Linked DNA regions of Rhinolophus ferrumequinum. The protein of the gene in region 3 interacts with the protein of the main gene of each other region in a pairwise test. Links are inferred from orthologs where the notes say so. Each region holds a gene or a part of one and is shown on either strand. Other genes may lie near its edges. The genes, in order: ARHGEF5, SCNM1, zinc finger protein RFP and TLE5.

What was found.
Region 1: the proteins of zinc finger protein RFP (region 3) and ARHGEF5 interact in binary tests that used the Homo sapiens proteins (3 or more experiments, as listed by UniProt). The two-hybrid records come from large-scale screens. The link is inferred for Rhinolophus ferrumequinum from reciprocal best matches to the Homo sapiens genes TRIM27 and ARHGEF5.
Region 2: the proteins of zinc finger protein RFP (region 3) and SCNM1 interact in binary tests that used the Homo sapiens proteins (3 or more experiments, as listed by UniProt). The two-hybrid records come from large-scale screens. The link is inferred for Rhinolophus ferrumequinum from reciprocal best matches to the Homo sapiens genes TRIM27 and SCNM1.
Region 4: the proteins of zinc finger protein RFP (region 3) and TLE5 interact in binary tests that used the Homo sapiens proteins (3 or more experiments, as listed by UniProt). The two-hybrid records come from large-scale screens. The link is inferred for Rhinolophus ferrumequinum from reciprocal best matches to the Homo sapiens genes TRIM27 and TLE5.

Annotation. Positions count from the first base shown.
Region 1 is NC_046309.1:7,307,639-7,314,575, reverse strand, and holds the start of ARHGEF5 (rho guanine nucleotide exchange factor 5), read left to right. Parts: upstream 1-3,926; 5' UTR 3,927-4,062; intron 4,063-4,550; exon of another isoform or gene 4,551-4,646; intron 4,647-6,937. UniProt on the Homo sapiens protein: Guanine nucleotide exchange factor which activates Rho GTPases. Strongly activates RHOA. Also strongly activates RHOB, weakly activates RHOC and RHOG and shows no effect on RHOD, RHOV, RHOQ or RAC1.
Region 2 is NC_046305.1:51,216,190-51,223,294, forward strand, and holds SCNM1 (sodium channel modifier 1), read left to right. Parts: upstream 1-4,473; 5' UTR 4,474-4,586; coding exon 4,587-4,637; intron 4,638-4,902; coding exon 4,903-4,973; intron 4,974-5,184; coding exon 5,185-5,273; intron 5,274-5,372; coding exon 5,373-5,470; intron 5,471-5,570; coding exon 5,571-5,659; intron 5,660-6,097; coding exon 6,098-6,292; intron 6,293-6,435; coding exon 6,436-6,535; 3' UTR 6,536-6,595; downstream 6,596-7,105. Other genes in the region: LYSMD1 (lysM and putative peptidoglycan-binding domain-containing protein 1), read right to left, coding at 3,549-3,728. UniProt on the Homo sapiens protein: As a component of the minor spliceosome, involved in the splicing of U12-type introns in pre-mRNAs. Plays a role in the regulation of primary cilia length and Hedgehog signaling.
Region 3 is NC_046286.1:448,900-456,564, reverse strand, and holds the start of zinc finger protein RFP, read left to right. Parts: upstream 1-4,664; 5' UTR 4,665-4,922; coding exon 4,923-5,342; intron 5,343-6,289; coding exon 6,290-6,385; intron 6,386-7,665. UniProt on the Homo sapiens protein: E3 ubiquitin-protein ligase that mediates ubiquitination of various substrates and thereby plays a role in diffent processes including proliferation, innate immunity, apoptosis, immune response or autophagy.
Region 4 is NC_046301.1:60,176,279-60,183,190, forward strand, and holds the start of TLE5 (TLE family member 5), read left to right. Parts: upstream 1-3,908; 5' UTR 3,909-4,038; coding exon 4,039-4,065; intron 4,066-5,127; coding exon 5,128-5,225; intron 5,226-6,912. UniProt on the Homo sapiens protein: Transcriptional corepressor. Acts as a dominant repressor towards other family members. Inhibits NF-kappa-B-regulated gene expression. May be required for the initiation and maintenance of the differentiated state.

The DNA.
Region 1 (6,937 bases), on a different chromosome or scaffold from region 3:
CCAGACAATCTGGAAATGCACAACTGAATAAAATGTAGGGGCATATATAGATTTTCCTATGACATATGTACCCAACTTAAAAACAGACCTAAAGGAAAAATTTCCAGAACTCTGAGCCTCCTAAGACCTGGAAAGAGGATGGTCAGGCAGCCAGATCACCAAGGGGCTGGTAGGCCATGCCTGCTGCTGAGTTCGGACTTCATACTTCCAGAGATGAGGCTCCTCTAAATGTTTTCCTTCCGTTTCATTGAGGTCTAATTAACAAATAAAAATTGCACATAAGGTGTACAACTTGATGTTTTGATACACATACACACGTCTACGATTGTGAAATGACCACAGTCAAAGCTAATTAACATGTCTGTCACCTTACATAGTTCCCATTAATTTTCCTTTCCTTCTCTGCCCTGTCTTTACCACGCCTCATGTTAAGCCCACACGTTTTGCTCCTCCCTCAACAGAAGGTGTTCAGGCTTCTGTTTTTGCATGTCCCATTTCGTCTGCTGGTATGCCTTTCTCTGTCCTCCTCTCCACCAGTGAACAGAGTACTTCAGACAAATCAGCTCAAATAATCACCTGATCCTTCAAGCCTTCTCTTACTCCCCAAGCAGTGCTCTTGTCCTTTATGTCACCATTGCACTCTGTGTACATCTCAACACAATACATCACACGCTGCTGTCATTATTTGCTACTTGTGTCTCTCCTCGATTAGATTGAGAGCTCCTTGGGGGCAGAGACTTGGTTTTTGTATATCTGGTTTCAAAAAATGCATATTGAGTAAATGAATGAAAGAAAAAAAGTGGATGAAGCAATTAGTATTTGTACCTTGAACAGCACTAAATTTAGGCTAGTGCCAATGTGCAAAGGTTGAGAAAAGAAGTTAAGGGGAAACCAAGGATGAGAACAGAAAAAATACGTCCCTCGGAATGGCACTGGATAGCTAAGAACCCCTCGGCCAAGTCAGGCTGGACTTAAAGGAGAAAGATGGAGAGACCATGGTCGGTCAGGTTAAGGAAAGAACTGAGTTCAAAATCCGTTCAAAAAGTTCAAAGGTGAGTCATGGGATCAGACAAAAGGCAGAGTCAGAAAGGCCAGAGCAGTTTTTAAAGAACTGGCACCGGAACCACTGAGAGTCCGAGCTAACCAAGTGGGGGACCATGTGGCCAGTAACATGGGATGGTGTCACCAAAAGGATGTCTGGTCAGGGCAGTGACAGCCCCAGGGATAACTCTATGAGGTCCTGCTTTAAAAGAGATCACTGTAATCCCTTTATCAAAATATGGGGGTAGGGTGACAGGCCTAATTAAGAAGCCCAGGCACCAAGAGCAAGCATCAAGAAATGGGAAAGAAAGAAAAAAAGAGAGAACCATAGTTTGCAAAGTGAAGGGTAGAGGAGGAGCCCAGAGCAAGATTGGTTCCCACATGCACACACCCTGCAGGCAAGGGTGCTCCATGGGATGTTCTAAGTGATAAGTGTTAATGTTCCTACATCTCACTACTACTTGAAAAGTCAGCTGAGCCTTGTATGCTTAACTCTCTGGACAATAGCCCAGAGGTCATTGAATCAAGGGTGGTGACGCAACAAAACAAAAATGCTGATAGGTCAGAGCTGGTAGAACAAGAGGAGGTCAAGTCTATGAGACCTGAGAGAGAAAACAAAGGGATAGAGAGGTATAATCAAGGAGAATCAGTGGAGCTGGTGTGGGGCAAGGAGAAGAGCCAGGCTGGTGTGGGAGGCTGGCCCAGCACCGCCGACCACACCGCCCTCTCCTGGTAGGCAGTATGGAGCATGGCAGACATCAGCCACTGGTGCCCAGGGGTCAGGGGGTTTACTAACTTTGCTCACCGAGACCCTGGACTGAGTTTGCTCTCCCAGCCTAGAAATAGAGACACTTCTAGCTTAAACTTCTTTTTATGACTTTATGAAAAAAATGTTTCAAGTATAGTTTGTATAAGATACTATATTAGTTTCAGGTGTACAATATAGTGATTCGACATTTTTATACCTTACAATGTGATCACCCCACTAAATCTAGTAATCATGTCACCGTGCAAACATATCACAATATTATTGCCTATATTTCCCTTCCCCTTTTCACCCATCCACCCATCCCCTTCTCTCTGTCAACTATCCCTTTGGTCTCTTGTTTCTATGAGTCTTTTTTGTTTTGTTTGTTCATTTGTTTTCTTTTTTTTTTTTTTCATATTCCACACATAAGTGAAACCATATGGTATTTGTCTTTCTCTGTCTGACTTATTTCACCGAGCATAATACCCTCTAGGTCCTTCCATGTTGTTGCAAATGGTAAGATTTCATTCTTTTTAATTGCTCATAATATTCCATTGTATGTGTGTGCCACATCTTCTTTATCCAGTCACCTATCGATGGACACCTAGGTTGCTTCCATATCTTGGCCATTGTAAATAATGCTCCAGTGAACTTTCTAACTTACTGCACTCCCCACTTTCAACCCCTTTCTGAACATATGACACGTGCTAGGCCCGCTGTCTCCTAGCTGAACTCCTAGTCCTGGCTTTCCCTGGGTGTTTCCCACACCTACATGGCAGCTTAGAAGAGGCGGAAGGCTGCTGAATGGTGGAGGACTGAACCCCTCCGAGCAGCATGGCGGAAGTAGCACAGAAATTGAACACAGACATGTTTCAGGACTTGATTGAAGAAGACACCATTCTGCTTTAATTACGCTGTACCCAAAAGCCCCCTTCAAAACGGGGGTAGGCATGGCCAGCCGGCATCTGCAGCAGCCAATGGGCGCAGTAATCTGCAAACAGTCTAACCCTCTAGCCATTTGGGCTTACAGATCAGGGCATTCCTGGAAAGATTCTACTTGACTTACAGGAGCAGGGAACCGCAGGGAGTCATGAGTGAGGCTGGGGTGGTCTGACTAAAATGGACCTACCTACCTAGAATCTCAGTGCCTAGGTGAGCGCTTCTTACTGTGTGTGCGCACCCGGCTGTACCACAGAACCTTCTGGCATTGTTTGAAGTCTGTGGAGAGGAATAAAGATAGACCCTCAGCTTTGCACTCGAGACCAACAGAACACAAGCTTTCCCTGAAAAAAATCTGGAAAAAAATACAGGCATGAAAAAACACACGGGCCTGAGACTTAGGCTTAGATAGTGCAACACAAACACACACAAGCACAGAGGTCCTGGGAAGAACAGAGAAGGAAAACACACCCCGGGATGTATAATGATCCTAAAATGAACTCAGAGAATACATAGAGGAAAGACATGGCATGCCGTTTTAGAGATGTCATTCCTAGGCTGTACGAGATGGCCTTGTAGGGGGAGGCAAGGAGAGAGAGGACGGGAGTGAGGGAGGGAGAGGGAGAGAGAGAGACAGAACCGCAGGACAGGAGCCAGCCAGCCAGCAGGCTACACCCTTCCTCATAAGGGAGAGACAAGGAGACATTAAGGAAGAGCAGTGAACAGGGAGGCCTGGAGATAAAGATGCACGTACAAACACAGCGACTCAAACATTCAGAGACTCAGATAAGCCCAAGATAAACACCGACGGAAGGCAGATCAGCAGGGTCCGAGTCAGGCTCAGGTGAAGACCTGGAGCAGTGCAGGGGAGAAGAAACGCCCAGGCAGACTGCCGAGCCACACAAGGACACGGGAGAGGCCCCACTCTCTCCCCTCTTTGTCCCACTCCTTCTGGTCACTCCTACCGGCCCTGTCCCCTGTCCCCTGCCCCCTGCCGCCGCCTGCCCTGGGCTCCCGCCCGGGTGACCCTCCCAGCCGGGCGCCACTTCCCCGCTCTGACGCGGGAGCTTCTTTCACACCAATGGGGCAGCGGCGCAGACAGGCCCTGCCCCTCCCCCAGGAAGGTGTGTCCCTGGTTTCCTCACCTGAAACTTCCTTGGAGAACCAGATCCCTCCCTCCCGGCCGGGCGGGGAAGGGCAGGAGCGGGTGGGGCGGCTAAGGCAGCCCAGGCCTGCGCAGGGGACGGGGACGGGGACGGAGACGCGACGGGGCCGGCCGGCGCCTGGGACTCGGAGGGAGCCCTTGGGCCGAGACAGCATGTGACACTGCCCAGGTGGGTACCCTTCTCCCTCGCAGCTCCCGGCTCCGGCAGGCGGCTGTAGAGACCCGGGGGAGGTAAGGGAGGGACAGGAAAGACAAGGAAACTAGGCCTTCACTCTGGGACCAGCCCCTGCTGGGTCCCGGGGCGCAGGCTCCGGAAATGGGGGGCTGGGCGTAGGCAGAGTTCGGGGCGTGTGACGGAGTATCCTAGTCGGGAAGAGGAGGGAAGCTGGAGGAAATGCTCTTGCCTGAAAAAGTTGCTTCCGGCCTGGTCCCCGCCTTGGAAATGGGCACCCTGCCCCCAGATGTTCCCCAGGCCAATAATAGGAGCTCTTCAAAGTCAAGGTCCTGGGGAAGGCTAAGCCCTATAATAAGGAATAACTGAGACCCCCTTTGTGGACCTGCTCCCTACGTAGAGATGTTTTACTGTCTGCTCTTTCTTAACTAGGCCCCGGCCTCCTTCCCCTGTTTCCTGTGGATTTACACACTGTATGTCTAAGGCCATACCTCTCCCAGGCGAGCCAGGCTCTGAGGAAAAGTGACTCCTGCCCCTCCCGCCTCCTTCCCCTTATCTGGGGAGTACTTCAGAAGCTTCAGGTCAATCACAATATTGCCTAGTGAACGTGGGGAGGCGGGGAAGGGAGCTATTTAGAGGTGGGGGTTGGGTGGGGGTGGGGCTCTAGGTCTGAGCATCATTTATAAGCAAGACTGTCCTAGGAGAGCTAATCCTGATGCCACTTGGCTTTCAGATTTCAGTCCCGGCTCCCCTTCCTGGATCTCTGATTCCTGAGACAGATTTGCCCTCCTGTCTACCTAGAAGTGAACTCTGGCCAGGACTCTTGTCAGATTGAGGAGGGAGGGTGTGTCAAACAGATGAGGGAGAGCGGCTGGCTTTCATTTCTAGTTTCTTCCCTCTTTTGCTTCCCCCGTGGCATTCTAAGGCCCTGCGTCCCTGGCCTACTCCAGAAATCCCAGCTCCTAGCGACACTGCTCCTGAGGTGGCCTCTTTCTCAGACTTCCTGTTTTATCTGTACCTGGAGTGTGGAGAAAGTCCTTGCCTATGTCTTAGCAAAATGGGGGTCAGGATGGATGTCTGTCATCACCCCAGTGGGGAAGAGAGAGGGGCCAGGAGGGATGTAAAGGAATCCCTCTTATCAAAAGAACAGTGATTGTAAACACAGTCAGCTTCTTCACCTTAGGGGTCCCTAGAGTGTATGGCTGCCCACATTGTGGTCTGTCTGAGGCTTGCTATGGGATAGACAAGATGATGTCATTTGTGGTATCTGGAGTGGCCAGTCACCACAAGGTGTGGAAAGAATGGGTCACTCACAGGGTCATGGATTGAACAAGAGCAGTGTTACCCAAGTGTCAGTGGTGTAGACCCAAACAGGTGGCTGACAGCATCTGGATCCCGGAAAGTCACTCGCCGTGTCTGGAGTGAACAGGGGCTGGCCATTCAGAGTGTGTGCAAGGTGGGTGAGACCTGAGTCACCCTCAGGTCTATGCTGAGGACACACACAGGTCACTCCCACTCACATGATCTGTGTGGGTGGCAGCTGGGCCACGGTGGGCTTGTGGAGTATCTGTCAGCATTGCCACTAGGGGCATTCTGTGTAAGCCCATCTGGGCTACAGGGCAGCAAATGAGGTGGTATTTTCAGACATTAGGGAATAGATATGGATGTTTGTTACGTTTTCACTGGGATGGAGGGTAGGATTTCCTAAAGTAGACAGAACACAGGTCTTCACAGCGAGTGGTCCAGATCGCTACTCTTATTTTTAAATCTTTGTAGTGTTGGGGCAATAATGTCAAACAGTGAATAAAGGCATATATCTATGTGGTATTCTTATTTTCTAAATCAAAATGAGAACCTGTCTTTTGACTTTGGGGGTATTTTCTTAAGATAAGCAGCAGTATAGACGACGTAGTGTAAATGCAGAAGTATTGTCACCTCAAAGAGCATTTCAGTGATTTGTGGTGTAAAGCAGAATTTTAAAAACTGACGCTGCTCGAAAATCCAGGAAGCATGGTTCTCACCATTCATGGCAGTCAACATGGGTTCGAAGAAGAAGCAGTGTGATGGAGGTGGGCGTGGACTGGGGAGGGGGGGTATCTTTGAAATACAATTTTTTGTCTGGAGACTAGAAATGGACAAGAGCTAAGGTATTGGGGGCTCCAAGGGAGAAATTGAGCTCTGTCACACACTGCGTTAATGAGGTGACTTGGAGCTTTGTGTTGAACAAAGTCGCGTGTGGAACTGGATCAGTGGATGCAAACTGTCTCTGGCCGGTCTGATGCGTGTCTGTCTGCATGTGCTCAGTTAGTGATTATTCACTCCCAGTAGAGAAGGAGCTAAGAGGCAACTCTGACGTAATGAGCAGTGCACAAATCTCTGTCCTATGTCTTTATGTGAGTAAAACCACGTTTTACAGATTTCCTTTTTAGCTTTGTCATGTGCTAGGTTTGTGGTGCCTGACTGTGATCAGATCACTAGGACCATCAAGTGAAGGGACATGGTGACTGAGCCGGTGACCCCTGACATTTCCAAATGGGTAAAGACAGTGTTAGAAGTAGTGTCAGTGGGGTTGCAGGAGGCAGCCATGATTGTGTCACTAGAATGGAACTGAAGATGTCCGTCTGTGGAGCGTGTGTGTGTGTGTGTGTGTGTGTGTGTGTGTTGCCTAAATATAGCAGAAACATGCTTATATATTTAGAGACTGCTTGTTTTGATGACATGACGGTGTATATATAGGGCCAGGAGAACACACATGTGGGTGAGGGGAGACTACAGATTTAGTTACACAGTCTCCTCAGACAAGTAGGAGCCAAGTTTCAGAAAATGTTTACAGTGAGCAAGTATATTATTTAACGTGTGGTCGAGAGAACAG
Region 2 (7,105 bases), on a different chromosome or scaffold from region 3:
AAGCTGAAAACAATTAAAACCATGTATTTGTTTAAAAACAACAAACCCATTACATGTTAACATAAATATTTTAATGAAAAATAACTGTATTTTCCAAAACAACAAAAAAATGTAGCAAGAAGAGAGGCACTGTTTTACATTTTTGCAAATCACATTAATGTGTGACTTAATAGAAGACAACAGGATTCTCGTATCTGCCCCTCCATTCAATCTGTTGCCATAACATGTGATTCAGCCTGTGGGAAACACAATCCACTCATGAGAATGAGAACGAACAAGGCAAATGAAGTCTTTATTACTTTACAATTACTATGAAAATAGTTTTGACTTTGTGGATTCCTGAAGAGTCTCAAGGACCCCTAGGCGCCCCTGGACGTCACTTTGGGAACTTCTGTTAAAGATGAAGGAACTGAGTTGCCTAAAATAATCTAGCAAATGAATGACAGAGCTAGGGCCTTTTCACTCCTCTGGGACTGCTTTCCACAGTACAGTAGTAATCATTTCATTGACCAAATGTTTATTTAGTAGCTACTTATTCATTACTGAACATGGTGACAGGTATCGCCATCTATCTACTTGCCTCCCAAGGTCGAAATATCAATGTCACCCTTAACTCATACTTTTCTGTCATCACCCAGACCCAAGTGGTCAACAAAAGTGCTGCAAAACTCTCCCTCATATGCGGTTTCATATTCACTCTACTGCCATTACCTTAGAACAACTCTTAATATGTCTCATCTGGGTATTACAAGTTTTTTAACTGGTCTTTCTCCATTCCTCTTCACCCTCCACCCTGCTGGTATCTATCTTTCTTAAAAAAATGAATCTGATCAACCCATTACCCTGCTTATAAACCCCCTGTGGCTTCCCATTGGCTGAGATAAAATGCAAATTAGCATTCGGGGCGTCCTCAATCCAGCGCCATCGGATGTCCAGCCTCATCTCTCTTCTTCTGCCGCCTATACATTTTGCCATCCTGAACTTACCATACCCTTCTCAGCCTGGAAAACTACTTATCAACTATCACTCCCGTTGTGTTACCTTCTTCAGGGCTCTCAAAGCATACTATAAATATTACCATAATAATGACCAACATATTATATTGTTATTCATCTGTTTGCATATCTGTCTTGCCCAAACTCTGTAAGTCCTTTAAGGGCAGGATGGTGACTTGCTGTCTCTATATCCCTAAGGCACACACTTGGCACACAGCAGAGGCTCATTAATGCTTTATGAATAAACAAACTAGATAATAAAATATAGAAACCATGGATATCGTATATCTGTATTTTATTGTCAGAGGCCAGGCAGCCAGTTTTTCTAAAAACTCACCCCATATTGTTATCAGTTTGGGAAATCCTATTTCTTACACCTATCGAGTATCAAAGGTGTTTCCATCCTGGGGCGAGACGATTAGAATAAACTTGACTAATAAAATATTATGCTATAAGGTGTTTAAAAATAAAACCAGATTACTGTGAACAATCAAAGAAGTTAAAACTGGCTTGTAGTTTTGCACTTTCACTTTGTCTAGATAACATCCTAAGTCCCTTTGAGCTCCAAGATACTATGAATTAATCTGTGACTTTTCTGTTGCCTTTGTTATTTCCTAGAAGTACCATATAGGAGGGGACATCGTTCCACTCCTAAAAATGAAGGACCCAAGGTCAAAGTCCAGAGGAGTCCTAGGCCACGGAGCCGATCTTTAAGAGCTAGAAAGGCCATTAGAATCTAGTTAGTTTAACACAGGAGTACAAAGTGAGGGTTTTAGAATGAGCCAGCCTGGTCTGAATCCTAGCTCTGCTGATTAGACTAGTTGTGTAGTCTATGGTAAGTTATCTCCCGAAGCCTCAGTTTCCTTATCTTTAAATGAGACTAGTTCCACCTACCTCATAAAATCTTACGAAGATAACATGAGATACCATATAGAGTTTGGCATACATTAAGTGCTCGTTGAATGATAGGTAGGTAATAACTTAGGTAATTATCATTATTTAATACATCTTCCTCATTTTACAAATGGTGAGGAAACTGAGGCCCCAGACAGGGGAAGTGACTAATGCAGCCACTCAGCTGGTAAGAGACAGAATGAGGCCAGAACGTGGAATTCTTCACTAGACTACAGAGCTTTTCTGTACTCAAAAAGGTACAGGGCTGTCAGAAATCCTCAATAAATAAATCTTGATTCACGAGTAGCACTGTTCCCTTCTCTGCGCAGTTCCTGAGTCTCTACTGCGATGGACGGTCTGCTCAGTACTTTCATATCCCCTTCCTTTGTTCAGACCATGCCCTCTACTTGAAATGTTCACTTTCCCATACTCCCAATCTCCATGTGTGAAAATCTTAGCCGTACTTTCATTCACTCACAAAACATCTATTAAGCTTCTGTGTGCTGAGGACTATACCAGACTCTAAGATATAAAATGGAAAGGAAATAGTTCCATCCCTGAAGAAGGGTATAGGCTATTGAAGACAAAGATGTAAAAGGTGTAAACAACTGGATTAAACCCTAGGTTTGTAGAGAGGAGCCTAGAGGAAGGAACTTCTAAGTCTTTCAAGGCCCTTCATGATGGCGCCCTTGAAATCTTCACTGATGTCCAACTTTGCTCCCTTCCAAATGAAAAGTCATCTTCTTGTCTGATGTCCCACCCTTTGTTAACACCTCTACAAACTCACCACGTTCTGTCACCTACAGTCACTATTTGTGTCCCTGTCCATTTCTCACTGGACTGGAAATTACATGAAGGCAACAACTATACATTTTATGTTTCTATCTCCCAAGATGGTTACCACAGTGCTTTAAACTTCCCAAGCATAACAGTGTAGGCCAAATTCAACAGGAGATGGAAAAAAGAAAAAAGAAAAAGAAAAAAACCTCATCAATTTTAGTGCAATATATTTTCACACCTGTTAAGTATACTCTATGCATGACCTGAAATACTTGGTGTACAGAGTACCTGTTTTGCACCAAAGAGGCCACCTTCCTGGAAAGAAGGCAGAGCATTGAGGGGGGAGAAAAGAATAAGAAGAAATTGGCACTTTAGGAACTTAGAACTGAAAACCAGCTCTCCATTATTTGCCGTAAATTTTTAATCATTCTCAATTAAATAGTTTCTATGTGGTTCATAGTACGGACTTTGGAATCAGACAGACCTGTTTGAATTTCCACTCTTACGCTCATTCGCTATTCGACCTTGGTCAAATTGATTAACCAATCTAAGTTTCAGTTTCTTCATCAGTGAAAAGGGGACAACAATTGTATGCTTATGGGGATGTGAGGATCAAATGTGCTAATGTATGTAAAGCTGCCAGCATCTTGACTGGTATAATAAATGGGAGCTGCCCCTTTCCACTGTGATAATGGGACACGATGTGTCCCCATCAGATAGTGCAACCCTGAGATGGGAAAAGAAAACGATAAAGGCAGATCAGACAACACAACACATTAGGGAAATTTCAGGGGAAATTGCCTAGAAGCGCCATGACATTCTCCAGAGGAATAAATCTCTTCTAACTAGTTGCCCACATCTCAATCCTGAAAAACTCACCGTCACCCCGTATTTGAGTGCTAGTCCAGCCAGGGTGTCTCCGGGCGCCAACTGATGCTCCAGGCGTCTTTCCCTCACTGGGGAGCAGGCCGACTGCACCAGGCTTCCATAAGAACGAGCTCGGCTCCCTTGAAGCAGTCCTGACCCCCCGAGGGGGGCCTGTCTGGAGGGAGAAGCCATCTCCACACACTGAGGGCAGCTGGGGTTGCAACTGCGGGAGGCCAGGCTAAGCGACCGATAGTGACTGGCCGGGCTCTGCTAACGACAACCAGGGATTCCTTTCACTTCTGTCTTCTCTCCCAAGTCTCCCCCAGCACTAGGCTCCCCCCTCTCCACCCTCACTTCTCCTCCCTCCAAGCTCCTTTCCCCCAGATCTATACCCTGAGTATTCAATCCCTACCTGAGTCTCCCGTTAGTACCCCTCCAACTTTCGACCTTCTACAACTCGCGGCATTGACCTCTGACCTTTGAACTCTAGACACCTTTCTCACACTCGGCTCAGTCGGCCCCCAGATCGGGCAGCCCTGCCTCCCGGCCCCCCCCGAACCCCGGCTCCGCCCCGTCCAGGGGTTGGTCTAAATGCGTGGTGATCAAATTAGGGCCCACCCAGGTGGGCTGTCACCGCCGACGAAGCGCGTGATGACTGCGAGAGTTTGAAGTACACTTTCCACTCAGAGGTCCTCAGAGGCTCCCTCCGCATCTCAAATTCGGGCTCCACATCTAGGTTCTTATCCCTCCAGACGCCTCGAATATGACAAGATGCAGGAGCCTGGATCCAGCTCTTCGAAAAAAGACTTCATTTCCCAAAAAGCTCCGCGTCTGCGGGGTCGCAGGGGACGATAGGAAATGCAGTCCCCCTCGCCGGGCTGGAGGCGGGCTTTCGGAGTCGCGCGGGGCATGCGTAGAAACGCATCCCCGGAAGTGAAGCCGACCGGAAAGAGACGGAAGGAAAGGAGACGCCCACCTTGCTACGGTGGCCGGAAAGGAGTGGCGAAGGCGGGGCGGTAGAATTCATTATTTCTGGGACTCACAGTCGTGATGTCTTTCAAGAGAGAAGGGGACGATTGGAGTCAACTCAATGTGCTCAAAGTAAGCGCGAGAGAAGAGCGTCTGGAGCAGCTTCCGCTGCCGTCTGAAGGCCGTGAAACACTTGTTTTGTTGCTCTGGCAACAGCTGGGGGGGGCGGGCCTGGAGGGAGTCAGGCGACTGGGGCTGGGTTGTGAGCCCTTCTCCCTATGATCTCTGCTCTCCCCGTGGTCCTCATTCTCTATAAGCCCTCGTCCCTGTCATCTCCCTTCCCCGCTTCCTCCTATCCCCTTGATGCCGTCCGGACTTCTTCCCCTACTCCCTGCAGAAGCGAAGAGTCGGGGACCTGCTGGCTAGTTATATCCCGGAGGATGAGGCGCTGATGCTACGGGATGGACGGTGAGGGCAAAGAGTGGATGAAGCCAGCGGGTTCTGCGATTAGAGGCTCAGTAAACTTATTAAGGAGGAGAGTGAGGGATAGGGAAGGGGGTGGTGGAGATTGGGGTACTTGGGAGTTGGGCTTCGGAAAGGACTGGCGGGTCAGGGTGGGATCTACCGCAGAGACCCGACTGCCCAGGGACAGTTTATCGTCTCCTCTCCTCTTATCCAGCTTTGCTTGTGCTATCTGTCCCCACCGACCTGTCCTGGACACGCTGGCCATGCTAACTGCCCACCGTGCAGGCAAGAAACATCTGTCCAGTAAGTTTGGGAGAAGACACAGGATGGAGAATAAAGCCTTAAAATGTCTTCAGACCACTCGTGGTGCTCTGCTTTTGATTCTCTTCCCTTTCTCCTCAGGCCTGCAACTTTTCTATGGCAAGAAGCAGCCAGGAAAGGGAATGGAGCAGAATCCAAGACCGCAGAATGAATTGGAGAGGGAAGAGACCAAAGCGGAGGTAATCGGGGAGAGGAGTGTGTGTTCCAGGCAGGACCTTAGGCTTGAAGGGCTCTGGCTTCTAGGAAGAAGCTCTGACTCTGTCTTGATCTCCATGCCAGGCTCCTCTGTTAACCCAGACGCGGCTGATCACCCAGAGCGCTTTGCACAGAGCCCCTCGTTACAACAGTTGCTGCCGCCGGAAGTGCAGGTCTGTGGGGTGGGAAAGCCAGCGGCGGGGAGGGACAAAAGGAGACAGATGGCTCGAAAGTGCTTGTTTTCCAGATTGTGCTCTGAGGAATACTAGGACTCTGGAGATGTTGACTGGTATTTCAGGAAAAAGAGAATTTTGTAATTAAAAAAAAAATGGGGGAAGAGGCGCGCTCGGTAGGATTACAAAGTAGGATACTTTTGAAGAAGAGTAACAGTATATTTTAAGGTCTCTAGAAAGTCTTAAGATAAAGAACTTAAAAAATTTTAACCTAAATCTTTCCTAAATTCATTTGATTCCAAAAGCTTTTTCAGGCAGCACACTTACTCATATCTTGAGGAACACCGTGTAGGAAACACTGCTTTAAGGGTTGGGAGTCATGGGAGAGATGGCTCTTTCCTTTACTGCTCTTACAGACTTTGATTCTTCTCTGCCCAGACCAGAAGCCTCTCGTCCCTCTGTCTCCCGCCCCCCTTTGCCACCCCCAGAGGTGGAACTCCCAAGTGGGCAGATCGGTAGGGACCCTGAGCCTGGGGCAGGTCCACAGGCTGAGGAGTCAGCCGCTGTCTCATCCCCTGCACCTGTGAGCCCCACAAGGAGACGAGCCCTGGACCGTTACCTCACCCTCCGGAGGTATGCACAGTCTACTTTCCTTAGCTTTTCCCTTTTCTCTCTGACCCTCCTTTTCCAAACCTTCTCAATTGTTTTTTCTCGTCCCACTGACTTCTCAATAAACCTCCTCTTGTGACTAGTTCTGTTTTCTCTGATGTTTCCAGCTCTGGATGGATCCCAGATGGACGAGGTCGATGGGTAAAAGATGAGAATGTTGAGTTTGACTCTGATGAGGAGGAACCCCCCGAACCCCCTTTGGTCTGACACCCACTTTTCCCATTTAGTTCACAAATAAACACAGTGGGCGCTGGGAGCCTAACTTGCCTCGAGTCTGGTTCCTTGTCCCACTTCAGGATTTCAGATGTGTTCGTTCTCAGCCCGGCCAGTCCTTCCCGGCCATGTACACAGCTCCCCGTACTTCTGTCCCCTCCCCCACCTCTTACCAAAGCCATGCCAGGCGTCAGCTGCGTCAGCCCGGTGCCCTATTAATAAGTCTGTTAGAAGGAGGTCTTTGCCCTTCGTGTTGTCTGCCCTCCTCCCTACTCCACTCAAAGTCCTTTCCTCCTGCAGATCACATGAGGTTTGTGCATAGAAACTAGGGGGGCCTGGCCACATCGGGGAACAGGGCTGAGGCTAGGAATCCTGTGCAAGTAGACGAAAGGCGTTGGCAGGGTTATGGGGAGCACCAAGGGAGGGAGCTCCCCCACCTCGTCCTCGTAACTTGAACCTCCCTGCCTGCTGATCCCCAGAGTATAAATAATTCCCTGATGAGCTGGCAGTAACCCTTGGGGCTTAGCGCCAAGATTTCCACCCCAAAGCCCAACGAAGGAGGCA
Region 3 (7,665 bases):
GGTCACAAGTAGTGCTAATTCAGGGCCTGTGACGTGACACAAACTGCTAATGACCTATCAGTAGTCATTCTCACCTTCTTTCTTCCTTGCTCACAAACCCTGATTTTTACCTTGGTTAGCAAAGTGCTCAGCGAAAGACTACACTCCCCAATGTCCTTTGCAGTGGCCAATGATACTTACGTGGAAGCTGTGCAGTAGAAGAGCCTTTTGAGTGGGGTCTTCAAAGAAAGAGTGATGATTTGTCCCAAATTTATCTGGAACATTTCCTATTTGTACCTGTTGTCCTTGTATAATTATTAAAAGCACCCTGCATAGTATTTTCCTTAACTTGTCCCCTACCAAAGCATATTTATGTTGGTTTCAGTATTTCACAAATTCAAACAATGCTATAATGACATCCTTCTATAATCAAGCACTTTTGTGCAGATGGGAGAGAAGTAGAGCAAATGGTTCAAAAAGTTTGGGCATTTAAAAACATGAGCTATTGCCAAATTATTCTCAATAATGTTCTTCCAATTAACATCCCCATAGTGGACTGGAATGCCTATTTCCTTACATTCTCACCAACACTATTATTGAGCTTTTTGATCTTTACTAATCTCATTAATTGAAAGCACCACCACATAATTTTATTTCATTAATAGTGAGTTGGACCTCTTTTCACATTTATTAACCACTTGTTCTTTTTCCCTGTACCATCTGTTCATATCCTTTGTGCTTCCTCATGCCTGCTTTTTACTTAGATTTGTGGAAGTATTTTTGTCTCTCAAGGAAATTCATCCTGTCTTATTTGCTAAAAATAACTTTTCCCAATTTTCCTTTATTGCTTGACTGTTTAGAGCTACTTTTTTTGTATAGAAGTCATTTTTTACTTTTATGTAAATCAAATTTATCCATTTGTGGCTTCTGGGTTTGGGATCATGTTTGGAAAGAACTTCCAGACAAGAATTATTATTATTATTTTATTATCTTTTTAAAGATTTTATTGGGGAAGGAGAATAGGACTTTATTGGGGAACAGTGTGTACTTCCAGGACATTTTTTTTTCTTTCCCAAGTCAAGTTGTTGTCCTTTCAATCTTAGTTCAGCTTCAAGTTGTAGTCCCTTCAGTCTTAGTTGTGGAGGGCACAGCCCAGCTCCAGGTCCAGTAGATGTTGCTAGTTGCAGGGGGCGCTGCCCACCTTTCCTTGCGCCATTTGAGGAATCGAACTGGCAACCTTGTGGTTGAGAGCCCACTGGCCCATGTGGGAATTGAACCAGCAGCCTTCGGAGTCAGGAGCACGGAGCTCCAACTGCCTGAGCCACCTGGCCGGCAGATTATTATTTTTAATCAGTCAGTTTTCTTTTTAAAGAGCTTTTATGGATTCACTTTTTTTTAAATTCAAATCTTCCATTGTCCTAGAATATATTTTGGTATAAGAAGTAAGATGGGATCTTTTTATGTTTTCCCCCAGCTAGCCAGTTGTTCAGATCATTTACTGAATGCGTAACACCAACCTGCAATTTCTCCTTCATCTTTTACTAAATTCTTATTCACATTTAGGCCTACTTCTTAGTTACTATTCTGTCCCTTTGCTCTACTAGCTTATTGTTACTTTAATTATTGTAGCTTTGTGTTTTTCCTGACCATTCTTTTTGTTTTCCCAGACTAACTTTAGTATTACATGGTAAAGGCAGGTAAGAGAAAAGACGATAAGAGGAAGCAGAAATACCTTAGGCCTCATTAGGTCCTACTCAGTTTGGTGCCAAGAAATAAAACCAATCCAAGGAGAGAGGAGTCAACAGTATCAAATGCCTCAGAAACAATAAGATGCAGACTGAATAGTGTCCTCTGGATTTAGCCCATACTTTTAGAAATCACTGGTGTTCTTAGGGCAGATAGGTTGTGTAGAGGGGGTAGGTAGGAATTCATTTTAAAATAAAACGTTTTATTAATAAAAATTGTATTTTATCAGATAGGTTTAGTTTCTGTTGCATATACAGACAATCCAAATAAGTGGCTTAAAAAAGACAGTGGCTTTACTCTCACTCACATAGATGAAATTTGGATGCAGTCACTCTGCAGTGAGTAAGGACCTAGGCTTCTTTACCTTTCACTACATCATGTTAGTGATGCTTTCCATCTTCAAGATTGCCTCATGGTCCAGGACAGCTGCCTGAGCTCCTGCCATCATGGGCACACTCCAGGCTGAAAGAACTTGGAAGGGGTAAGTTTAAAAAGGGCATACTTCTCAGCTGAGTAGACTTTCTTTAAGAAGTTTTCTCAAAATTCCCATCCAAAAACTACCATGTAGATACCATTGGCTACCCACAATCTCAAGACTGTTGAAGTGTGAAAGAAGCTCTGGGTGAGGTAAGGGTGTTCCTAGGAATATCCGTAACCAGCCAGACAAGGTTTCATATTGTAGCATTGCCTTTTTGAATTTACTACAATTCTGGCAGCAAAGGGGCCTGGGAAGTATCTTTCAGCTGGACATATTGCTACCTGGAACAAAATTTTAAGTAAAGAGCGGACACTGGCTATAAAATAGTCACCAATAGTCCCTTTCATGTTGTGTTAAGATTGATAGACACTTACTAAAATAAATAGCTGTACCAGAAGTCCCACACTGGAGGGCAGGAGGCCAATTTTCATCTTGCATAGATGATTTTACAATTTTTAGTTAATAATAAATTTCATATAAAATTTTCATATAAGATTTTTGTCTTCTCTTGAAAATCTGAAAATTGGCAATATGCTGGGCCCACATACTCAATGGTCATCTTCAGCTAAATAGAAATGAGCTGCCTCTCAGGAGGGACATTTTTCCTCCAGTTAGTCACAGTCCCCATCTTTCCCTATTGATTTGACCTGCTCATTTAAATTACCTTCTTGTCTCCAGCAGGCATTTGTGTTTGTACCAGTCATTTTATGAATGAATAAATAACTGTTACAAAGAAGTATGCATAAAATGTGACAGTAGAATCATTAATTATTAGTCTAATAATTCAACAAGCATTTAAGTACTGCCAATCTGAGTAAAGCTATGGAAAAGGTGTAATGGAGAACATAGAAGGGCTGGAGAGGAGCTTCTGTCCTCACAGAGTCATTTAAGGACCTGACCTCAGTTTCCTTATTCATAAAGTGCATTAGACAATGTGAGAGCACACATCATTTACTGTTCTAAACTAACCTTAACGATAGGTAAGAATTCCAAAGCAAAGTCAAAGAAAATCTTAAGATGGAAAATAACCCAAGTATCAGAATCTGAGGTGTTACGTGAGCCTCGGAGGCTGATGAGAGAGAGATTGATGAGACCCACTTGTTTAGGTTAAGCTCCAAGGAAGGACTCATGAGTAGGCCCTGGAGAGGACTGTGGTGAGCACAGCCTGGGCCAGAGCTGGGTTGGCAGCATTGTATGAAGACTGTGAATGGCAGCCGACTTGGAGGCCGGAAGTGCTCAGACTGAACTCCACGCTCAAAGGTTTGGACAATGTCCTGGAAGCAAAAAAGCTTTGAAGATTTCTGTGTGAGAAGTGACTAAATGAAAGGGGGCTGTTCAGGATGATTCTGTCCCTTGCGGTTGTTATATATGCATTCACTCAGTTACTAATTGACTTAACAAACATTTGCAAACTGACATTTGAAATAATTTAGGTCAAAGCGTACTATGGAAATGAAAAGGAACAGAGGCAAGCTGATAAAGCAAAGCAAGGATGTCCAAATTCGATCAAATCTAGAGGATGAAGGACAATACTGAGAAAACAGCAAAGGAAACTAAGAAATACCAAGGTAGGGATGAGGGAGAAACCCAAAAAATTTGTAAACCTACTGGACAATGAAAAGAGCCCAGGTCACCGCAGGATTGAGAAGCTCCCAAGACTTTGGGAAAGAACACAAATGTTTAAGTCCTAGTGACCACAACTCCGTGCAGCGGGTAAACGTCCTTAAGGTTAAACAAGCAAAGACATAATGAAGTCTACCTCCTTGGTGCGGTGCAGTTACTCCCATTTCACCAGAGGAAACAGGCTCAGAATAGTAAACAATCTGCTTAGGAAGTAGTTGAACTGGGTTTATCTGACTCTTTGTCCCACAGGAATGTTGCCGTCTGATTAAGCCTTTCTTTTTTGAAACAAAATTGCGAGTGCCTGTAAATGGAGTTGTTTAATAAAGCGACTCACAAACCGGGTGGGACTAGGTCGGCTACCCCTGTCCCTCCAGGGGAAGCCAGGTGCCTGTCCTTCCCACACCAACGCAGAGCCAGTTTGCTCTCGCCGGAGCTGAGTCTTGAGCACAGAGAGGAAATCCAGCCAAAGACTAGGGGTCCAGGCCCGTGGCCGCGGAAACTCGGCGGTGGGCCCGGAGCGTGCAGACAAGGGCTGCTCTGTCACCGCCGCGCCCCGCAGACACCGAATGCCTGTTACCGGTCACCGAGTCTCGTGCTCCTGAGCGTTCCGCCCTAGGGCGGGCGGCCAGGCCTCCTCGGTTCTCTCCCGGAGGAGAGTCCAGGCCCAGAGGCCACGAAATCACGTCGGTGGCGAGAGGCCCGGGCAAGCCCCGCCCTCGGAGCCGCCTCTTCCGCTCTTGCCGGGTGGGGTCTGCACGGCCGCCGGGATCCGCTCCGACGCGGCCACGTTGTCCTGCCTCTGGCGCTCGAGTCCCACGGGGACGCCCGGATCGCTTAGCGGCTGGGCTCAGCGGAGCCGCAGCCTTGGCGAGCTACCGGTGCTGGGCACCGCGGCGCTGGGGGCCGCCCTGCCGCTCTGCGGGCCAGTGCACAGGCGCGTCTGGGATCTGGGCCCGCGAGGCGCCGCCCTCCGCCCGCCACGCTCTCTGCCCCACGCCGCCCAGAGGCAGCGAACCGGAGGGCGCGCTATAGAGTTGGGCGCCGCGCAGAGCTGGGCTCTGGGGCCCATGCCCCTGCGCCCCCGCGGGCCCGCGCTATGGCCTCCGGGAGCGTGGCCGAGTGCTTACAGCAGGAGACCACCTGCCCCGTGTGCCTGCAGTACTTCGCCGAGCCCATGATGCTCGACTGCGGCCACAACATCTGTTGCGCGTGCCTCACCCGCTGCTGGGGCGCGGCGGAGATCAACGTGTCGTGCCCGCAGTGCCGGGAGACCTTCCCGCAGCGGCACATGCGGCCCAACCGGCACCTGGCCAACGTGACCCAGCTGGTGAAGCAGTTGCGCACCGAGCGGCCGTCGGGGCCCGGAGGCGAGATGGGCGTGTGCGAGAAACACCGCGAGCCCCTGAAGCTGTACTGCGAGGAGGACCAGATGCCCATCTGCGTGGTGTGCGACCGCTCCCGTGAGCACCGCGGCCACAGTGTGCTGCCGTTGGAGGAGGCGGTGGAGGGCTTCAAGGTGAGGGCCCGGCGCGCCGCGCGGGAAGGGGCGGGAGAGCGTGTCGGACAAAGGGAGGAGAGATCCAAAGAGGCTTCCTTTTTTCCGCCTAGAAAATGGCTGAGCAGGTCGTGTGGTTCACAGCCGTCATTTCCTCTCTGTCTGCTGCAGAGCCTCGGCACACAGATTTGGGAGGAAAACCTGTAGATTGAGGAAGCCAGAAGCCCCCCCTCCGCCCCCACTCTCCTTTCCTTATTTGCGTCTGTTTACCGGTTCACGGGCACATAAAGACAGCCCACGGAGCCCTCCCCACTCCCGTATAAAAGATGCGTGTAAAACCACGTGCACATCGGCAAGCCTCAGAGACGCTCGTACTCTGTCGCCTCCTAGTTGATCTCAGACACATTAACTGGCTGTATACCCGCCTGGCAGGTAGATGCCCACCACCTACTCGAGAAGCATTTCCCCAGCACTGCCTGTGCTCCGTTCTGTTCCAGAAACTCATGGAAAAGAACACAACTCTTTACTGCTTAAGTTATTTAACCACTTTGAAACTCATAAGAGGTAACACAGTTATTACGAAGATTAAGTTAAAATGTGGATGGAGCCCCTGTGAACTCTTGAACCAACAGACTAGCACAGTTAAACAGTAACACGGAAACGAAGTCATTTCCTCAGTGTGCTACTGTGGAAGAGCTCCAGTTTAATTCCAAGCCTCCTGGTCCTGTCACCTTTCCACTAGGCCATGCAGTAGGCATCCTTCCAGGGGCAGGTAGTTGACTCAGTTTAAGTTACACACAACCTGCCAAAGGAGGGGTGTGGTGACCCCGTGTGCCTGGTTCAAGGACAGGCTGTAATCCCGGACTTGGCTTCAGGAATGTGAGTTGCATGTGTGATAAGCGGAAGAGCCATGCTGATGCTAAGATCTGCCTAATCCTGAACTTCCCAACTGTTTTTGCTTTTCTTAGGAGCAAATCCAGAACCAGCTGGACCACCTAAAAAGAGTGAAAGACTTAAAGAAGAGGCGTCGGGCACAGGGGGAGCAGGCACGAGCTGAGCTCTTGGTAAGTAAGTGTCTTTGGGATTCACAGATAATATCACTTCTGCTGGTTACTCCTTCTTTTGTAAGGCTTAACATTGTCCAGTCAAGTCTTCCAGACTTCTAGGTGAAGGTGGGGAAGACCATATGGCCGTTGGGAACTAACCTGGAGACCCGAGCATTCCCATATTTTTTGGGGAAAGGATGGAAGAGCTAAGGTTGGGAACCCTGGAGAGCCGACCTATCCAAAGTTTAAACTGCTAGCTTTCTTTAGATCACGGGTGATCCTTGACAGAGCTGACATAGGTGAAATTCTCGGGCACAGCCAGCCTCCTTTGGTACCCTTCTGCAGACACATGCCGACAGTGGCTTTGCATAAGCCCCACTGTTGCTTCTTGCTGGAGTGTTCCCTTTCTTGACAACACTTCAATTCTGAGCTTTTCACTTTGTTTCCTTCTTTTAGTCTCCTAAAGCCTTAGCGAATGGCTAATTTATGACAGGGATATTTGGGGGTTTTGTTTTGAAAACCAAAACAAAAAGTAGAGACTTTTATAATAAACACTTACATATCCACAATCTAGTTTTTTAAGCATTTTTTTGAACAATAAATAGTAAAAATTTCTACCCATTAGGAGTATTTGCATGTGAAAAGCAAACTGTTAGACCAGTAGTATATAACACTATTTTGTAAGAAATTTTGTCAGCCTGGCCAGGGTGTCGCAGAGAACTTGTGGACGGGGAACTTATTCCCATGATATCCTCAAATGCCACCACTTGTTCTGCCCACACAAGCTGAGACCTCAGCTTTCCTTGCTTGAAAGTAGGTCTGATGGATGGAGAATCTTCTAGTGAGCTTGAGTGGAGTCAAATCATTATGCACATGGCCTCTCCTCTGTGGGAGGATTGTCAACGAGGGGAGATAGTCCTTCTCTGATCATCAGGGAACCTGGACTTAGGAATATAACCTCTGTAGGCCTTCAGTTTCCTCATCTGTGAAATGGATAGGTTGGATTAGACTTGTTCTTCAGCAAGGCTAGTACTACCCTCTCAAGAATCAAGTGGTTGGGGAGAGTAGGGCAGGGAGGTTACTTGTCCTGCAATCAAGAAACAATCCCATTAGCAGCCGGACGGCTCAGTTGGTTAGAGCACTATCTCTTAACAATAAGGTTGCTGGTTCAATTCCCATATGGGCGGGTGAACTGCACCCTCCACAACTAGATTGAAAACAATGGCTTGGAGCTGAGCTGCAGGTGGGTGGCTGGTTGGCGCAGTGGTTGGGGCATGGTGCTCAAAACACCAAGGTTG
Region 4 (6,912 bases), on a different chromosome or scaffold from region 3:
GGCAGAAGAGGGGCAGGATCTGAGTCAGGTTTTAAAAGCTTGTCAGCTCAGCAAATGGAGGGATATTGGTCCTCCCTAGTCACGGCTGTCAGTCTCCACTCAGAATCATGCTTGGCACACAGTAGGTGCAATAAATATTTACTGAGGGAATGAATGGATAATAGCTCCATTTGGGAGTGTGGGGGGGGACCCAGAGTGGTAAAATCACACGGCCCCAGCTCACCCAGACAGATTATAACAGACCAGGGGCTGACCCAAGAGCTGGACAGCTGAGGTCCTGGCTCCGACAGGCCTATCAGAGGGAGTCCCCGTGCCCACACTGCGGCCACCTGTTTCCTCCCCTGCCTGTGATTAATGGCCACGCAGCCCCATCCATCACGCGCCAGCCAGCGACTGGCTCTGCCGGGAGGCCACGGGGCCCAGTGCTCATTTGTAAGCTGGCTGCGAGGCTGGTCTCAGCCGGTTGCTGACATGAGACAGATCCCCGCCTCAATTTGGCCTCAGATGTGGCCCTGAGAACCCCAGGGAAAGGCAAGACCAGGATGTGGACCCAAGGAGTTGGGGATGAGTGGGGGCTGAGGGGTGTGGAATGGCAGCTACCCAGAGAGTAAGATCTTGGAAAGCCCCAATTCCCCCCAAATTAATGACATAATGCAGACTGTTCCCTCCGGAGCTGCAGTGCTCCGCCCTGCCTTTCCCTTCCTGCCACGTTCTGTTCTTTCCACCCAGCCATCCCCAAAAGCTCCCGCGCAGTGGCCCAGCCTAGCCTGCCCGTCTCCTGGAGCTCAGCTTGGGCATCCCCCTGATCTACGGGCCTCCCGCCTTGCCTTCCCCCATTGCTACTACCAGCAACACCTTCTATCCCCGGCCCTGGCAGTCTCTCTCTGTTGCTCTAAACCAGGGCTTCTCAACTGGGGGGAGTTTTGCCCACCCCCACCGCCTGGGACACTCAGCAATTCTGCTTCTCAGGACTGGGTGGGAGGTGCTCCTGGCATGGAGTGGGTAAGGCCAGGGATGCTATTCAACACCCCACTGTGCCCAGGACGGTCCCACTCCAGAGAACGATGCAAGCCAGCATGTAAAGAGTGAAGACAGAAATCCTCCTCTAAAACCTCCCCTGGCTCCCCAGTGCCCTCCAGGTAAAATCCTATCTCCTCATCCAGAAAGCAGGCCCTGTAGCATGCTGGCCCCCAAGCCCTCTCCAGCCAGTATCCCCCATACCCACCTCAAGCCCCATCCGGAGGGGCAGTAACGCATACTGGTCAAGCGCCCAAGTACCTGGGTTCACATCCTAGCTCTGCCACCTACCAGCTGTGTGATTTTGGGCAAGTCACTAAACTTCCCAGTGCCTTGATTTCTCCATCTTTAAATGTCATAATGGCAGTACCTAGGGTTAAAATGCTTAAGGTAGGGCCTGGCACATAGTAAACACATATACAGGTGGGTTAATTTACTTTATTCATAGGTTGGGTCACACTTCTGGGCTTTGCCACATGCCAAAATTTCAGTAATTTTCCTGAAAATTACTTTTTCCCGATTACTCTCCTTCAAAGGCAAAGCCCTGAGTCCCCCACTGTGGCCTAGTCCTGACCCCACTGTGCTGGGGGTATGTGTGTCCAGCTCTGGGGTCTGTTAACACAGGAGTTTTTGGTCACCGAGTGCCTGCCCAGGTGAGAGTCAGACGCAGGTGGCCTCCCAGGAGAATGGGTGTCTGGTCCCCGTGGTGTGTGTGTGGGGGGATGTTGGGGGCAGGGCCAACTTCATGGGCAGGTGACTCATGCACTCATAGCGGACCCCATGCTCTCCAAGGAAGGACCCTGAGCTTGGTTTAACGCTCTGTTGCCACCATATTGAAATTCCTAATCATTTTTGAACAAGAGGCAATGCATTTTCATTTTGCCCTAAGCCCTGAAAATTCTGTAGCCTGTCCCAATTGGGGACTCTCGTGTGATTTGTGGGGCCTGCGCATTCCACAACTCTACAGGAATATTGAAGAGCTTTCCAAACTTTGCTCCTTTTCTCTTACAGCGTCAGGACTAGAAAGGCCCTGCATTTTGGTTAACTCATCTCCAGCTCATTGGATCCTGTCTTTATTTAAAAGGCTGACATTTTGCTCATTATGCATTTTTACTTTTTATTAAATTTATTGGAGTAACATTGGTTAATAACATTATATAAATTTCAGGTGTACAACATTATAATCCGCTATCTGGACACTCTATGTGTGCTCACCACTTGAAGTCTAGTCTCCTTCCATCACCGTGAATTTTTTTGGCATCAGTTTTTATTTATAAAAATAGTGCTTTAAAGTATTATTTATCTTGAAGGATATTTTTAATTTTGTTTTGTTTTTAGGGTGAGGGGGGTCTTTAAATTTTGTTTCTTCATCTCACCCTCGTCCTGGCCCCTCATCTGCCCGGGAAAAGTGACCAGGGTCCTAACTTCCCATTTTATAGATGGGAAAACCTAAGGCTCCAAACAGTTATTCATCTGGAGAGGGCTGCAGAGCTGGTGTTGATGACATGAGAATTAAGAGGCTGTGTATGTAACACTTGCCAGGGGTTAATGTGCATGATTTCAACAGCTTCCTTGAGGCCTGAACTCCACATGGCAGCGAGAGAGAATCTATCAAAATCTGAGTCCGGTCCAGCCCCTCCCCTGCCTACAGCCCTCTGTGGCTCCCACCACGGCTGGGTAAAATCTCAAGTCCTCCCTGTGGCCCACAAGGCCCTGCACCATCTACAGAATTTGCAGTCCCAATGCAAACCGAAACTTTGAGGCCCCCTTGATCAAAAATAATTAGGAATTTCCAGACCACAACTGTAGATCAGGAACCCAAGCACAGGCTCTTCTGGGAGCAGGGCCCGTTTGAATGCTGGAAGCTGCTGGCCCTGCCTCCCTGCCCTCATTTCCTCCCAGGCTCCTCCGAGGAAAAAATGGGGCTGCCTCCAGGCCTTTGCATTTGCTGTTCCTGCCTCCTTGAATAAGCCACCATACCCCATACCTCTGTTGGCTCCCTCTGTCACCTTCAGGTCCTCTTTGCAGGCAAGGAGGCCCTCTCTGACACCATCTCTGTTTAAAATGGCACCTTCCTGGTCCTCCCCCTGGTCTATTTTCTCCATAGCTGCTACTACCCTCTGACCTGCCAGAGTTTGGGCTTGAGTATTTGTCTCTCGCCTGTCTCAAGTCGTCTCCACCAGGGTGGATACTTTGTACATCCCCAACCCACACCCACATCCTGGAGCAGGGCCTGGCACACAGTAGGCGCTCAATAATGTGTTTTGGAGGAATGGCTCCCAGGAGGCCAGCTGTATGACCCCCGCTGTTCTGCAGAAGAGGAAACCAAGGCTCAGAGAGCACAGCCAGAGAGCCAAGGTTACAGAGCATGTCCCTGGCACGCGTCCAGGTCGCGCCATGACAGTGCCGGCGGTTTAGATGGGGGCCGCCAGGCCCCTTTCTTTGACAGATAGGGAAACCGAGGCCCAGGCGGCCGCTAGGGCCACCCAGCCCGGAGGGGCGGCGTCCCGGCGCGCCAGGCGGGGGCTGAAGCCCCGGGCGGGGGCGCGCCGGGCCCAAGGTCACCGCGCCGGCGGCCCGCGGGAGGCGGGCTGGGTGGGGATCCGCAGGCCTCCCCGGGCGCGCGCCCCCCCCTCGGCGGCGCGCACGGGGCCCAGGCTGCAGCGGCAGCGGCAGCAGCAGCAGGTGGAGCCGGAGCTTCCGCGCAGCCGAGGCCGCAGCCACTGCCGGCGTTGCCGCCATTAGACAATAGGAGCGGCGGCCGGGCGTGCGGGGAGGCGGGCGGCGGGAGGGGCGGGGAGGGGCGCCGGGCGCGCAGGAAGCGGGGCCCGGGGCGCGCCGGGGCCGGGCGCGCAGGGAGGGGGCGCAGGAAGCGGGTGAGGCCGGGCGCGGGAGGCGGCGGCAGCAGCCCCGGGAGCTGCCGATCGGCGCCGGGACAAAGGCGCGACCGCCCGGCGCCCCGAGCCGCCCGAGCCGGGGCGCACAGCCGGGGCGCAGCCCGCGCCCCCCGCGGCGACTGACATGATGTTTCCACAAAGCAGGCATTCGGTAAGCGGGGACCGCGGCCCGGCGTCCCCCCCCCCCAGGTCTGGGCCCTGCGCGTGCCCCAGCTCCTGGCCGGGCCATTTCCCCCCATCCGCTTTCGGCCCTGCGGCCCCCCAGATCCGCACCTGGCACCCCCACTCCGGGTCCGAGCCCTGCGCCCCCCAGTTCCCCGCCGGGCCATCCTCCCCCCAGATCCGAGCCCTGCCATGCGTCCCCCCCCCCAGGTCCCTCCTTGCTCGGCACCTCCCCCCAACTCCAGGGCCCGGTCCCCTCCAGCTCTGGGCCCAGCGCTGGTCTTCCCTCCCACTGTAGCTCCTTGTCCCCCTCCAGCTCCCGGCCCGGACTCCCCCAAGCTTCAGGCGGGGTCCTCTCCAGCTCCCGGCCCGACTCCCCCAGTCCCTGGGCCCTGCGGCCCGCCCCCCACCAAGCCAGGCTGGGCCTGGGCAGCCTTGGCCTCGGGCCTGGGGCTCCCCGGGAGCCCCACCAGGCACCTCTAACGCCGGGGCTGCTTTCGGGGCCTGGGAGTGGGGGTTGATCCGAGGTGCATCTCTCCCGGAAGAGAGCGGCCTGTTGGGAGGGTACTGGGAATCTGGGATGGAGCCCCCACGGAAAATTTCGGGCGCTGAGAGGGCCCTCTCTTAAAGGACTTTGCAGAGAGACCTCGCTACCCCCCACTTGGGGACGGGGACTCCCTAGGACACGTTGTCCCCTCCCCGAGGCACTTGGGGCGCTCCGATGTGCACCCCCACCGGAGCATTGGAGCGGCGGTAGAGGGCGCACCCTGCCCCCCACCAAGGGCGGGCCTTGAAACGCACCCCCACAGCCTGGGGGTGGCGGGGGACGGAGCGGCTCCAGGCGCACCCACCCCCTCCACTTCCCCGGGAGAGGCGGGGGCAGGAAGCGAGGGCGGGGGCCGCGCCAGGGGCTGTAAACAGGGGCCCGGGAAATGGGGCAGTGTCGGGGGGGCGCTGCCGCTGCCCTGGCCGCTGCCTCCCGGCGCCCAAGAGGGAAGTGAACGGCCGACCCGGCGGCCCAGCCCTGACCCGGGACGCCCCCTCCTCGCAGGGCTCTTCGCACCTACCCCAGCAACTGAAATTCACCACCTCGGACTCCTGCGACCGCATCAAAGACGAGTTTCAGCTGCTGCAGGCTCAGTACCACAGGTGAGCTGGGGTCAGGGGTCTGTACCCCGGGAGAAGGTGGAGCCCCCTGCGCAGTTGGCTAGAAGGGTGGAGGTGGCGGCCCCTGCTTTGTATATGAGTACTTGAAAAAATATATGTATTTTCGTAGTGCAAATTGTATGGCAGGCACTGTCCTGAGCACTTTATCGGTATTAAAATCGTTTAGTCTTCCAAACAGCCAATTTCACAGGAGAAAAAGGAGGCAAAAAATTAAATGATATGCCTAAAGGCTCAGCTGTATGGCTTCAGAGGGCCGCTTCCCACCCCCACCCCAAGCCCCACATGATTAAAAACCTCCCAACAACTGGATTTGGGGGATAGATCCCCATACCTACCAAAATTAAAAATAATCGAAAAAAATTGCCCCAAAGACAAAGTTCTGCAGCCTGTTAGCCCTCTCTGCCCAGTTCTGGGGAAAGGGTTCCTGGTCCAACTATCTCAAGCATGGTTGTTCCAGAATTTAACATTTCCAAAGGGCTTGCCATGTGCCCTGATCTAAGGGGAACAAACTGTTATTACCTACGTCTTATCCTTGGAGAAACTAAGCCCAGAGAGCTTAGGGATTCCTAGGGGATGCACAGCAAGGAAGTGGCAGCAGACCTGAGATTTGCACCCAGTTTCTGAGTTGAAGAATGCAAATTCTCAAAGGCCCTGCTATGGAGGGGATCAGTAGGGGTCCCTGCCCACCAATTTCAGGGAGGTCTTGGGCTGTCTCTGAACCTCAGTTTACCCACGTAAAAAGATCTTGGATTTTCTTCAAGAAGAAAAGGGGAGTACGGATGTATATTCTTTCTTTTCTTTTTTTTTTTTACCATCCAACCTCTTGGGGTACTTCCCATGCTCCCCAAGTGTTAAATACTGAACATCTTTTGGTTTAATCTTCCTTGCTGTCTTATTATTGTGCCCATTTCAAAGATGAGACAGAGACGCTGATGGTGGAAGGGCAGGCCCAGGAACTTTGTTCTGGTCCTGTGATGTGGAGGGTTAGGGGCTTTGCCTGGCAGAGCTGGCCTTTCTGAGCCCCTGCAGTGGGTCCTCCCCTCCATGCCTGGTCCATGCCCACTTCACAGTGAGCACTGGGGCTGCCAATCCCTGATCATTGGTGAGAGTGTTGTTACAGTGCTGTGTGTCCTCGGGTAGGCCAGCCCCCTCCCCCCCCCGAGCTTTGGGGTCTCCATCCACTGGGCCTGGGCTTCCTACTCTACAACGAAGAGTCCTACCATGTTGGCACACAGGATCTGCCAGACCCTCAAAAAAGGCCAGAAAGCCAGAGTTTGGGATGAAATTCCTTGTCTGTTCTTTCTAATGGTGGCAACAAATGCACATTTTTTAAAAATTAGAGAAAAAAACTCAAGGGGTCACGTCAACCCCAGCTGTGACTCATCTGTGAACTGGGGTGTACAGTTATGGTCAGTCTAGCAGAGTGAAACACCAGGTTCCTGGGGTGACCAAGAGAGCAACAAGAATTTATTGGGTGCTTACTATACGCCAGGCGGTATTCAGAGAGGATTTCTGGTCTTAATTCATTTCATCCTCATCACCTGACCCCGGGAGGTTGGTATAGGAGGTTGGTACTTAACAGGCACGGAGACCAAGGCCAAGAGGGGTAGAAGGGTTTGCTCAGAACCACACAGCATCAAAGTAGCAGGGCTGAACTTTGAACCCAGTC